Saccharomyces cerevisiae S288C: one gene and its partners. The protein of the gene in region 3 interacts with the protein of the main gene of each other region in a biochemical or structural test. Each region holds a gene or a part of one and is shown on either strand. Other genes may lie near its edges.

Region 1 (3,143 bases), on a different chromosome or scaffold from region 3:
TAGTAGATAATGCGACGTTGATACAAAAGGAGGGAAGTATATCGAGTGGACCACCATCGTCTAATAACGGTACTATTGGAGGTGGTAGTACAAGTTCAACGCCAGTGGGGAACCACAGCTCTTCGTCGTCCAGTTTGTATACTGAATCACCCATTAGATAAATAGACAACCTGTACTTTTTTATATTTTTTTAGGGAAAGAGAAGGGTCTCTTATATTTAACGCTTATTATGTGATTTCTCGAAATGTCAAGTGTTACAGCCATATGGCTGACTGTGTTTACGTTAATTAGTTATATATAAACGATAAGCCATTCTGATGTTATCTTCTTGTACTTCTAATTAATAATATTTACTCGTCAGAATTTCGACTTTAATGAGAATATAGATATCTTCCTAGTTTTCCAAACATTAGAGAACCAAGGAAATAAAAATCCATGAAATATAAAAATTGGGAACCGTCGATAATATCTTTGTAGCAAGAGATACAACAACCCACCCCAATGCAGATGCAGCTCATTAACATGGATATTGAGCCGTCAAAAAACAACCACAGTATAATATTCAGAAGCCCCCATGCCCCTGCCGCCTGCAAAGAGGAGTTCCACTGTATTTTCCTGATCCCAAATGTGACTCCCAACATGGCATTGATACTTCTAATAACAGAGGTCAAACTGTCATGGTGGACAGAGCTCTTAACAACCTCTGTTTGAAAAATATTATCCAGAATTGGTACAACAGAACCAAATAACAGTCCTTCAACACCGTAGCCTAACCAGTTTGGCAGAACCCCATTGGATAGCCAGTTACAAAGTTTGACACCCAGTAGAAGGGGTCTCGATGCAAAATCTGGATGTAAGAGATGATTATCGTGCAAGTTTCTGGACAGTTCATGATATGCGAAACCGCTCAATGACAAAATTAATACAGCTTGCAGGTAATGAAGAATATTTTGACGAGTTTGTCTGGTTCTTGACGGAAAGTTTTCGTGAATGGATGATGCTGATAAAATCCTTTCCAAATTATTAGAAGATACTGTGTTCCTTGGCAGCGAGCCGCCAACCTTATGGGCCAAGTAAAAAGTCGAATCAATAGTTTGATCTCTACTATATTTGGTAGAATCTATAGAGACAGAGCGTTTCAATTCTTCGTAAATTTCGTTATCTTCCGATCTCACGACGTCATCATCATATAATGAATAAAGCTGCGGTTTAGTCAGAGAGCAGATTGATTCGGTGCTCTTCTTTGGATCCGGTTCTCCTCTATTGGCCATTCTGTATGCTGTTTTCTTTGAGAAATACTTTGTCGTTTATCTTCGTCCTTGTCTTCTTTTTGGTCCTTTGTGTTTGAGTGCTTTCCAAACTTTTTCTTTACCTTTTGCACGCCAACTACTATGCCCTTTATTGCAAATAAAATAGGTACTACAATAAGCCCTATCATCAATGTTGAGCTGTCAACTAGAAGTTTAAGGAAAAGAACATCTCGAAGTTTAGTAATTTCCTTGCTTTCATATTTTAAATGTCTAGCTAATTTCGTATCTACCCTTTATCTCATGCCGATAAAAAGAAAAGTTCCCCCCTCGTGGCCAGCGACGTTCGTATATACATAAAACTGCCTCACCCTCCTTTCGGTGGCAAAAGCATGTTCTACAAATGAGTATAAAGATGTAATAAGAGCTTGTACAAGCAAGGACTCGAGCTAGGGCGGAAGTGTGACAACAGTGAGCTATAGGCACATTGTAGTGTACATCTACTGCAAGAGCTTGCATTAATTTTGATATAAAAAAAAGGACCATCAACTAATTTTTGCTATATTTAAGAATGTCGGCGGCTATCGAAAAAGAAACCGGAATGTTGGATGTAGGAAAGCACTGTGCATATTGTAGACAACTAGACTTCCTACCTTTCCATTGTTCGTTTTGCAATGAAGATTTCTGCTCGAACCATAGACTTAAGGAAGATCACCACTGTAGGTGGTTGCTAGAGCATGAAGAAGTTCATAAAACTGAAAAAAGTCCTAGCAAAAGCCGGGATGGCTCAAGTTCTAACGATGAAGCATATTTCAAGAGTCTGTTACCTGAGAGGGCCAGTGTTAGAATCCAGAGAGTAAGTGAAACAAGAGAGCCTTTGAGAGGTTCTAACACTGCCAAAGTGAGCTCTACTTTGAACTCAAAGACATTAGACAAAATATTTAAGTTCTTCCAAAGGAATGAGAAAAGAAAGAGCAATAACAAATCAAAAAAGAATTTCGGTTCCTCGTCGAATAAGATAATTCAATTGGCTAATCTCAAGAAAATTGCTAAAGGTGACCCCAAGATTCCTATGCAAAATAGGATTTACATTTGGTGTTACTTGGTGGATGGTGATGAGACGGATATAGCCAAGGAGGATACAAGAATGCCATTATACATTAACAAAATGTGGCCTGTGGGTAGGGCCATGGACTATTTGTCTATCCAGCTAAACGTGAAATCTAGCACACTAACTAATTCAAGTTCTAATGACAAATTTCAACTATGCAAATTGAAAGAGGGTAAACAAGTTTCATTTTATAATATTGGCGCTTCCTTAAGAGTCACTAATGAGATCAAAGATCTTGATACTCTGTATTTAGTACACAATAACGCCGACGAAAAATCTAATTAAGAAGGACACTATAAATAACAAACAATCGCGCGGAACGTCAAGCGTATATACTATATAAAAAGAAAACAAAAAAAATCAATAACCCATTAAAGATACATAATCAATAAAAAACGATATTAAAAAGCACGTAAAGTACTTAATATTTTTTTAATAATAGACATTTTCGCCCTTACTTTTTAAATAAAAAACATAAAAAAATATCAAATGTACATCAAAATCATAATACTAGAACAAAATGTGAAGATCACTGGACGGTGGTGGGAATGATTACAAAAAACCTCCTCCGTTTTCTATTCTAACAGCATCCTAGCTTACTGAAAAAACCTTTCGATGATTTGTTACTATTTCTATCTTGCGCTGCGTTTTTAGCGTTTTGTTCGTCGTTCGCCGTTGGTTGCGCATTATATGGATACTTGTTAGTTTGACCATTGGCACCTGTATTGGCAAACTGTTTGGATTTCTGTTGCATTTGCTTTTGTTGTTGCTGAGCATATTTTTGT
Region 2 (4,179 bases), on a different chromosome or scaffold from region 3:
AATCTTCGTTAGATAAACCTAATTTCTCCAGGTGATCAATTAACAATTTCACTCTATGCCATTGCATCTTACGACATTCATGGTGGAAGTCAAAATACACGTAGTGAATCTTCGGATCGTTTAGCGCGTGCACGACTGATTCATAGCCCTCTTTCACGGGTAGTTCGTGGCCCTTTTGGTTGACTAGGTTAACCAAGTAGTTGTCGCCATATAACTCCTTTTGCTGGTCAAAATGCTTTTTTGTCGCATCTAATGAGTTTTCTCCAAGAACAAGATTTGGCTTGTACTTCAAGTTGTTGATTTCAGCCCAGTATATTGGCACAGATCCTCTTGTCTGTAAGAAGGAGAAAACGTGTATTTTTTCACTCTCTGGATTCTCAGCGAGTAAAATTTGCTCAGTTTCATTGAAATTGCCAACGTTACCGTCTTTGTCAACACCACGACGGAAGTATCTTGTGCCCGCCCTAAATATACTACGTCTGGTAATCAAACCAAGAACGATAGGGGTGGCATTCAAAACGGCGTCCACTGTCTTGGCATACCCATAGATAACAGGTTGTATAAAGGAGTCAATTCTAGGATCTTGATGAGCAAAGTTTCTCAAATCTTCAGTTAAGTAATGGTTCCAAAAGAATCGTTCATCAGCGGTTTTCCAGGAGGCTGCAGGACCAACCTTTTCATTTCTTTGTAAGGAATTTGTTAAATCATATGTGTATGAAAAATAAAAGGTGGAATTTTTCAAATGCAACTCCAGTAGCTTGATATATTCGGCTTCTTCAGAATCGATTCTCGAGTTAAACTTGGTAGATACGATAGAATGTTGCAACACTCTATAGAAAACGTGGCCATTGAATCTACCGGTCTCTTCCACAGTATTTGCGATAATGGCATACCTGTTCAACTTTAGCTTAATGAACCCCATCAAGGACGCAATCTTTACTACTTCACCTTGCACAGGAAATTCCTCTGCTCCAAGGACCCGAACACCTTGATCTTGATTGGCCAAGTGAATAACAGCATCGTTAGTTCCTTTGCCCTCAGCAAGCTTGAAGAAGATACCGTCCGCATTTTGAACGTACACTATTGGACCTGTCATATCTAGACGAGAAAATATACGTGTATATAAATATTATCGTTACTGTTATAGGGATATGGTTTCTAATCCTTTCTCCTATTTCCTTATCTAAACCTGTGGTATTTTTCCCTTGCCTTTTCAACTTCAATAAGCTGGAATTAAATTTGTAGTGTGGGTAAGCAGTAGTGCAGCAATGCGTGCGTGTGCAAGCTCTTGAATATTGAAGGTCTACAGGTTACTAAAACAATAGGAGCGAGGCTTGGACGTCGAGAAAGTTGCTGACCTTGGCATTTCCTTTGCGAGTTTTTCAAAATTTTTCACACTCGTTCAGGACCACGAAAAATAAATCATATGAGATTTTAGTACGCTGATAATAAGGGAAGGCCACTGTCTTGGCTTATTTTATATATATATATTCATGTGTGATAGTAAGGTGTAGAGCAGCAGATTTGGAGTATGGGATATCAATTGAGTGCAACACTTAAAGGGCACGATCAGGACGTCAGGGATGTGGTAGCTGTGGATGATTCAAAGGTTGCTAGTGTTTCGAGGGATGGAACAGTTCGCTTGTGGTCTAAAGATGACCAATGGCTCGGTACGGTAGTTTATACAGGACAAGGATTTTTAAATAGTGTGTGTTATGATTCCGAGAAGGAGTTGTTGCTTTTTGGAGGTAAGGATACTATGATCAACGGTGTGCCCTTGTTTGCCACCTCAGGAGAGGATCCCTTGTATACCTTGATTGGCCACCAAGGGAACGTTTGTAGTTTATCCTTCCAAGATGGTGTTGTGATAAGCGGTAGTTGGGACAAAACCGCAAAGGTTTGGAAAGAAGGATCGTTGGTTTACAATTTGCAAGCACACAATGCCTCTGTATGGGATGCCAAAGTCGTATCCTTCTCAGAAAATAAATTCTTGACAGCTTCCGCCGATAAGACGATTAAACTGTGGCAAAACGATAAAGTGATCAAAACTTTCAGTGGGATTCACAATGATGTAGTAAGACATTTAGCTGTGGTGGATGATGGCCATTTTATCAGTTGTTCAAACGATGGCCTCATCAAGTTGGTTGATATGCATACAGGTGACGTACTAAGAACATATGAAGGCCATGAAAGCTTTGTTTATTGCATTAAACTGCTGCCCAATGGAGATATTGTAAGCTGCGGCGAAGACCGAACAGTCCGTATATGGTCAAAGGAAAATGGTTCGTTAAAGCAGGTAATTACACTTCCTGCCATCTCTATTTGGTCCGTTGATTGTATGTCTAATGGTGATATTATTGTGGGAAGTAGTGATAATCTTGTGAGAATATTTTCGCAAGAGAAGTCAAGATGGGCTTCCGAGGATGAAATAAATGAACTATCTACGCAAGTGGAAAAATCCACTATAAGTTCCAAGACAATAGAATTTGATGAGTCTAAACTATCACCTTATGAAATTTTACAATCGCCGGGGCGCAAAGAGGGTCAAATTGTGGTAGTCAAATCACCTCAAGGTACTATAGAAGCTCATCAATTTTCAAATTCTTCATGGAAAAAGGTTGGTGATGTTGTCGGTGCAGGTGCTACTGGAAACGACAAAAAAATAGAATTCGAGGGTAAAACGTATGACTACGTATTTGATGTGGATATTGAAGATGGAAAACCTCCCTTGAAATTGCCGATTAATGTCAGCGACAACCCATATACAGCAGCCGACAATTTTTTGGCTCGTTATGAACTGCCAATGAGTTATAGGGATCAAGTAGTACAGTTCATACTGAAGAACACTAATGGCATATCGCTAGACCAGCCCAACGATAATGCATCATCTTCTGCAGTATCACCTTCAAAAACGAGCGTAATGAAGGTTCTTCCTGTCAAGCAGTATCTTATCATGGAAAATTATAACCCAGATACTATTTTCAATGGAATAGTAAAAATAAATTCAAATGAGAAGACCTTTGATGATGAAATTCTGGCGCAAATTGGTGGCGCACTACATGACATAGATGAAAGCTGGGAGTTGCTACTTTCATTTGCTAACACTATAAGATCTAACTGGGAAATTAAGACTCCTGCATACGACATAGTACGATTGATTGTAAAAAAATTACCTTATTCTTCAGATATAAAAGATTACATCGAAGAAGGCTTGGGCAATAAGAATATCACTCTAACCATGTTAACTGTGCGTATTTTGGTAAATTGCTTCAATAATGAAAACTGGGGTGTGAAATTACTGGAATCAAATCAAGTTTATAAATCAATTTTTGAGACTATAGATACTGAATTTTCTCAGGCATCTGCTAAACAGTCACAGAATTTGGCTATTGCAGTTTCCACACTAATTTTCAACTATTCAGCTCTCGTCACGAAAGGGAACTCTGATTTAGAACTTTTGCCTATCGTAGCTGACGCCATCAACACCAAGTATGGGCCATTGGAAGAGTATCAAGAATGCGAAGAAGCCGCATATAGGCTAACCGTAGCTTACGGAAATTTGGCTACTGTTGAACCTACATTAAGACAATTTGCCAACTCCGTAACTTGGCTTGCAAACATCAAAAGGAGCTATGGGAACGTGCCAAGGTTTAAGGATATTTTCGACGATCTCTCCTAATACTTTTACAGCAATCATATAAAACACATAATGTCTAGATAGCAAATAATCTTTAAAATTCTTTCTGCCCTATTGAAAATTATGACAAACTATCACGGTCATTTTCTGTCTAACTCGGCAAGAAATTATCATCGTGAAATGAAAAAGGTTACATACAATAAGGTTATTTTGAGTACAGACTGATAAATAGATGGAAAAGACTAAAAAACTGAAACGATAAGCGTCTAGTACCTTTTCCATTAGACGATTCAATACTGCATTTTGCAATGGACAAAGCATTTGACGAAATTATTGGAAATAGTCACACAGACAGCTCATCTAATCATAAGGTAACGAGATACCGCAGAAGGGATTTAAGAAATGAATTAGGACCTAGACTGGGATTTGCGCCTTCGGATGCTGCATCAAGGTCGAAAGATCGCCTTTATAGAGAGAGGGAAGAGCCTCCTTTGCCTAAGAGAATTAGAATATCCAAAATCCCACTAGACGTTTCTGACTAC
Region 3 (4,968 bases):
GTGAGGCTAAGTGCCTTCCCAACTTCTGGATATGTTCTGTAGATCTCAGCAGCATCAATGTGAATAATGCCAGGTAACTTCAGAGCATAAACAATCTGTTCGACCAAACTGTTCGAAAAGGTAGCATCCGTTTCTTCGTTTTTATACCATCTAGTACCTGTCCCAATGATGGCGATTGCGGGGATTTTATTTCCATTATTCAAGGTAAAGAACTGTTGGTGAAATGACATCTGTAAAAGTGTTGTTAACTGACCTCCGTTTCTTTAGGGTAACACAACCGTTTACATGTGTATCCATATCCACGTAGTATCCGACTATCAATATATCCGTATATATATATATATATATATGGGATGAGCGTATGTGAGTGTTTTCGTAGATATTCAAAATACGAGTAAAGGAGATCCTAGGTGTGGATTAGTAAGGGGAGTGTGGCAACTTCCTTTTTCCGGTTAATTCTCCGCGCTTTCGTTAGACTATTTTGCAAGGACCCAAATAGGAGACGCATGGAGGCTTCTACAAAACAGCGTGCCGTTTTGATGGCATGAGCAGGGGGCGCAAAGGAAACACCGGTAAATCGCGCAAGACCTTGTTGGCCACGTAGCCTCAAAGGTTGAATTGACACTTGTCTACAGAACTTGAAAAGTACAAAAGGAGGTCACATAAAACAGTAAGCTTGAGAAGCTTTAAGATATGGTGCGAATCGTTACAGAATATTCCTTGCAGAAATAATGGCGGGTCCGTTCTCTTCTGAAGAAGTTACCGCCCTACTGAAGCATTGCTGTACGATCGTGTAATGTGATGTGTGTTCGACTGGAAAGCGGAGAACATTATGAAGTAAAAGGACAATCAGCACGCCTTCCAGACTTTTAAGAAACATTGATGGAGCCATTGATATCGGCACCGTACCTAACAACAACAAAAATGTCTGCTCCTGCTACGCTTGATGCTGCCTGTATTTTTTGCAAGATTATTAAAAGTATGTCACATTACTAATAAAGAGCTTACACTCACACCAATGATGGCGATAGTCTCTATGTAGTACATATACATAAAGCAGAATACTAACAATCGATCCGCTATGCAACAGGCGAAATTCCATCCTTCAAATTGATTGAAACAAAGTACTCGTATGCTTTCTTGGACATCCAACCTACTGCTGAAGGTCATGCTTTAATCATTCCTAAGTACCATGGTGCGAAGTTGCATGACATCCCGGACGAATTCCTTACCGATGCTATGCCGATTGCCAAGAGACTGGCCAAGGCAATGAAGTTGGACACTTATAATGTGTTGCAGAATAATGGTAAAATTGCGCATCAAGAAGTCGACCACGTCCACTTCCATTTGATTCCTAAGAGAGATGAGAAAAGTGGTTTGATTGTAGGGTGGCCAGCCCAAGAAACGGACTTCGATAAGTTGGGCAAGCTACACAAGGAATTGCTTGCCAAACTAGAAGGCTCCGATTAGAGTAATGCATGCTATGATTTCTTTTAGCGTTTTCTTTTCATATTTAAGTTTATACATATGGGTGTGTTTGCTTCCATTCATATCCACTCTATAATGCTAACAATCATGTTACTAGCCATCGTTGCTATCGATACCTTATGAACAGCTCTAACTCCTTCCTTTTTAACCTACCGCCTTTTGCGCACTACCCGGCAACCCCTCGAATGTGAATTCGGTGGCAAAAAAGGACATATATCAGGGCCGTGTATTTAAGAGATCCGCAGTTGATGTAGTCAATTAATCTAGTTCTATTAAGATTTGACTCAACGCCATTGACTCGATAACTGGCTCAACTACAAGACAGATATACAAATCATGGGTGAAGAACATAAACCACTTTTGGACGCCTCGGGTGTCGACCCTCGTGAGGAGGATAAAACCGCCACCGCCATTTTAAGAAGAAAGAAGAAGGACAACATGCTTTTGGTGGACGATGCTATCAATGATGACAATTCTGTCATTGCTATTAATTCTAACACCATGGACAAATTGGAATTGTTCCGTGGTGACACCGTTCTCGTTAAGGGCAAGAAGAGAAAAGATACTGTCTTAATTGTGTTGATCGATGACGAATTAGAAGACGGAGCATGCAGGATAAACCGTGTAGTTCGTAACAATTTACGTATTAGGCTGGGTGATTTAGTTACAATTCATCCTTGCCCCGATATCAAATACGCTACTAGAATTTCTGTGTTACCAATTGCTGATACGATCGAAGGTATAACTGGTAATCTTTTCGATGTTTTTTTGAAGCCTTATTTTGTGGAAGCCTACAGACCAGTGAGGAAAGGCGACCATTTTGTTGTCAGAGGCGGTATGAGACAAGTCGAATTCAAGGTTGTGGATGTCGAACCTGAAGAATATGCCGTCGTTGCTCAGGATACTATTATTCACTGGGAAGGTGAGCCAATCAACAGGGAAGATGAAGAAAATAATATGAATGAGGTGGGTTACGATGATATTGGTGGTTGTCGTAAGCAAATGGCTCAAATTAGGGAAATGGTTGAACTACCATTGAGACATCCTCAGTTGTTCAAGGCTATCGGTATCAAGCCACCAAGAGGTGTTTTGATGTATGGTCCCCCTGGTACTGGTAAAACCTTGATGGCAAGAGCTGTTGCTAATGAGACCGGTGCCTTTTTTTTCTTAATTAATGGTCCAGAAGTCATGTCAAAAATGGCTGGTGAATCAGAGTCTAACTTAAGAAAGGCCTTTGAAGAAGCCGAAAAGAACGCTCCAGCCATCATTTTTATCGATGAAATCGATTCTATAGCTCCAAAGAGAGACAAGACTAATGGTGAAGTTGAGAGAAGAGTTGTCTCTCAATTGTTAACTTTAATGGATGGTATGAAGGCAAGATCTAATGTTGTTGTCATTGCTGCTACCAATAGACCAAATTCGATTGATCCCGCTTTAAGAAGATTTGGTAGATTCGATCGTGAAGTCGACATTGGTATCCCAGATGCTACAGGTAGACTTGAAGTTCTACGTATTCACACCAAGAACATGAAGTTGGCTGATGATGTTGATTTGGAAGCATTGGCTGCTGAAACACACGGTTACGTGGGTGCTGATATTGCCTCTTTGTGTTCTGAAGCTGCCATGCAACAGATCCGTGAAAAAATGGACTTGATAGATTTAGATGAAGATGAAATTGATGCAGAGGTGCTCGATTCTTTAGGAGTCACCATGGACAACTTCAGATTCGCATTGGGCAATTCAAACCCATCTGCATTGCGTGAAACCGTTGTTGAAAGTGTCAATGTTACTTGGGATGACGTTGGTGGCCTAGATGAAATCAAGGAGGAATTGAAGGAAACTGTAGAATACCCAGTCTTACATCCAGACCAATACACAAAGTTTGGGTTATCACCATCAAAGGGTGTGTTGTTCTACGGTCCACCAGGTACAGGTAAAACTTTGTTAGCAAAAGCTGTAGCTACTGAGGTTTCTGCCAACTTTATCTCAGTCAAAGGTCCAGAATTATTGAGTATGTGGTATGGTGAATCGGAATCTAACATCCGTGATATTTTTGATAAGGCAAGAGCAGCTGCACCAACCGTCGTTTTTCTAGATGAATTAGACTCCATTGCCAAGGCAAGAGGTGGTTCCTTGGGTGATGCTGGTGGTGCTTCGGATAGAGTCGTCAACCAACTATTAACAGAAATGGATGGTATGAATGCTAAGAAAAATGTGTTCGTGATTGGTGCCACCAATAGGCCAGATCAAATTGATCCTGCTATTTTAAGACCTGGCAGATTGGATCAATTAATTTATGTTCCATTGCCAGATGAAAACGCTAGATTATCTATTCTAAATGCTCAATTAAGGAAAACACCACTAGAACCAGGGCTAGAGTTAACTGCGATTGCCAAGGCCACTCAAGGTTTCTCTGGTGCTGATTTACTCTATATTGTGCAGAGGGCTGCTAAATACGCTATCAAGGATTCTATCGAAGCTCACAGACAACACGAAGCTGAAAAGGAAGTGAAAGTAGAAGGTGAAGACGTGGAAATGACAGATGAGGGAGCAAAGGCTGAACAAGAACCAGAAGTAGATCCTGTTCCATATATTACAAAGGAGCATTTCGCAGAAGCTATGAAGACCGCTAAACGTTCTGTTTCAGATGCTGAATTGCGTCGTTATGAAGCATACTCACAGCAAATGAAAGCATCTAGAGGTCAATTCAGTAATTTCAACTTTAATGACGCTCCATTAGGTACTACGGCTACGGACAATGCTAACAGTAATAATAGTGCTCCAAGTGGAGCAGGTGCTGCATTTGGTTCTAATGCGGAGGAAGATGATGATTTGTATAGTTAGTTATATGCCAGGTATATTTTTATTTTAAATCGTAAATTCAAGTCATTTCTATAAAAAAAATCGTCAATTTTAACTCAATATTTTATGGCCCTTTTTATATTTATTTTCAAATTTGTCAAAAAAAGGAGAGCTAAATCATTAGAAAAAGAATGCATTATGGTATATTTATGTATATTAATATGTAAAATAAGAAAAAAGGGAGGCTGTAGGACCTCGGTCGTAAGAACATTTACCTGTGTTCTTCCGCCTTTTCCGAAAGTGCCATGAAGAAACGCAGGCCAGGCATAATTTCGACATTTAAAATCACGATTTGAAGTAATTTGACCAATTCGATTTCTTTACTTTTGTATCTTCTTTTATTATCTGTTTGTTTAACCCAGTTTTCAAGATCACAGGGCGCGCTTTACTAAAATTAAAAGGCTTAATTGTCGGTATTGGCCTATTTTCCTTGTTATCGTGTTTGGAGTCTATGTTGTATGTTCGCGGAGAAAACTTGTCGCTAATGTTATTGGATTCGTGTAGTTCGGGCAAAGTTCGTATTCTGTTACTATAATTGGATAAATTCGATCTTCTAGATTCCAACGTGGAGAGGGTCGAAGTGGAAGCTAAAGATGGGATAGACATATTGGACGATGA

The links.
Region 1: the proteins of CDC48 (region 3) and CUZ1 form a complex in vitro, tested with the Saccharomyces cerevisiae proteins (3 studies listed by BioGRID).
Region 2: the proteins of CDC48 (region 3) and DOA1 form a complex in vitro, tested with the Saccharomyces cerevisiae proteins (4 studies listed by BioGRID, with this or other methods).

The regions. Positions count from the first base shown.
Region 1 is NC_001146.8:340,698-343,840, forward strand, and holds CUZ1 (Cuz1p), read left to right. Parts: upstream 1-1,818; coding exon 1,819-2,643; downstream 2,644-3,143. Other genes in the region: IGO1 (phosphatase regulator), read left to right, coding at 1-161; NSG2 (Nsg2p), read right to left, coding at 372-1,271; YNL155C-A (uncharacterized protein), read right to left, coding at 1,214-1,438; serine/threonine protein kinase YCK2, read right to left, coding at 2,939-3,143. UniProt on the Saccharomyces cerevisiae protein: Promotes efficient arsenite-induced clearance of stress granules (SGs). May have a role in the ubiquitin-proteasome system (UPS) protecting cells from metalloid-induced proteotoxicity.
Region 2 is NC_001143.9:31,460-35,638, reverse strand, and holds DOA1 (Doa1p), read left to right. Parts: upstream 1-1,531; coding exon 1,532-3,679; downstream 3,680-4,179. Other genes in the region: phosphatidylinositol-3-phosphatase SAC1, read right to left, coding at 1-1,096; YRA2 (Yra2p), read left to right, coding at 3,946-4,179. UniProt on the Saccharomyces cerevisiae protein: Ubiquitin-binding protein involved in protein ubiquitination, sorting and degradation. Acts as a ubiquitinated substrate-recruiting adapter for chaperone ATPase CDC48 by binding mono- or polyubiquitin chains.
Region 3 is NC_001136.10:235,521-240,488, reverse strand, and holds CDC48 (AAA family ATPase CDC48), read left to right. Parts: upstream 1-1,824; coding exon 1,825-4,332; downstream 4,333-4,968. Other genes in the region: YDL124W (aldo-keto reductase superfamily protein), read right to left, coding at 1-230; HNT1 (adenosine 5'-monophosphoramidase), read left to right, coding at 883-979, 1,091-1,470; cyclin PCL2, read right to left, coding at 4,636-4,968. UniProt on the Saccharomyces cerevisiae protein: ATP-dependent chaperone which probably uses the energy provided by ATP hydrolysis to generate mechanical force to unfold substrate proteins, disassemble protein complexes, and disaggregate protein aggregates.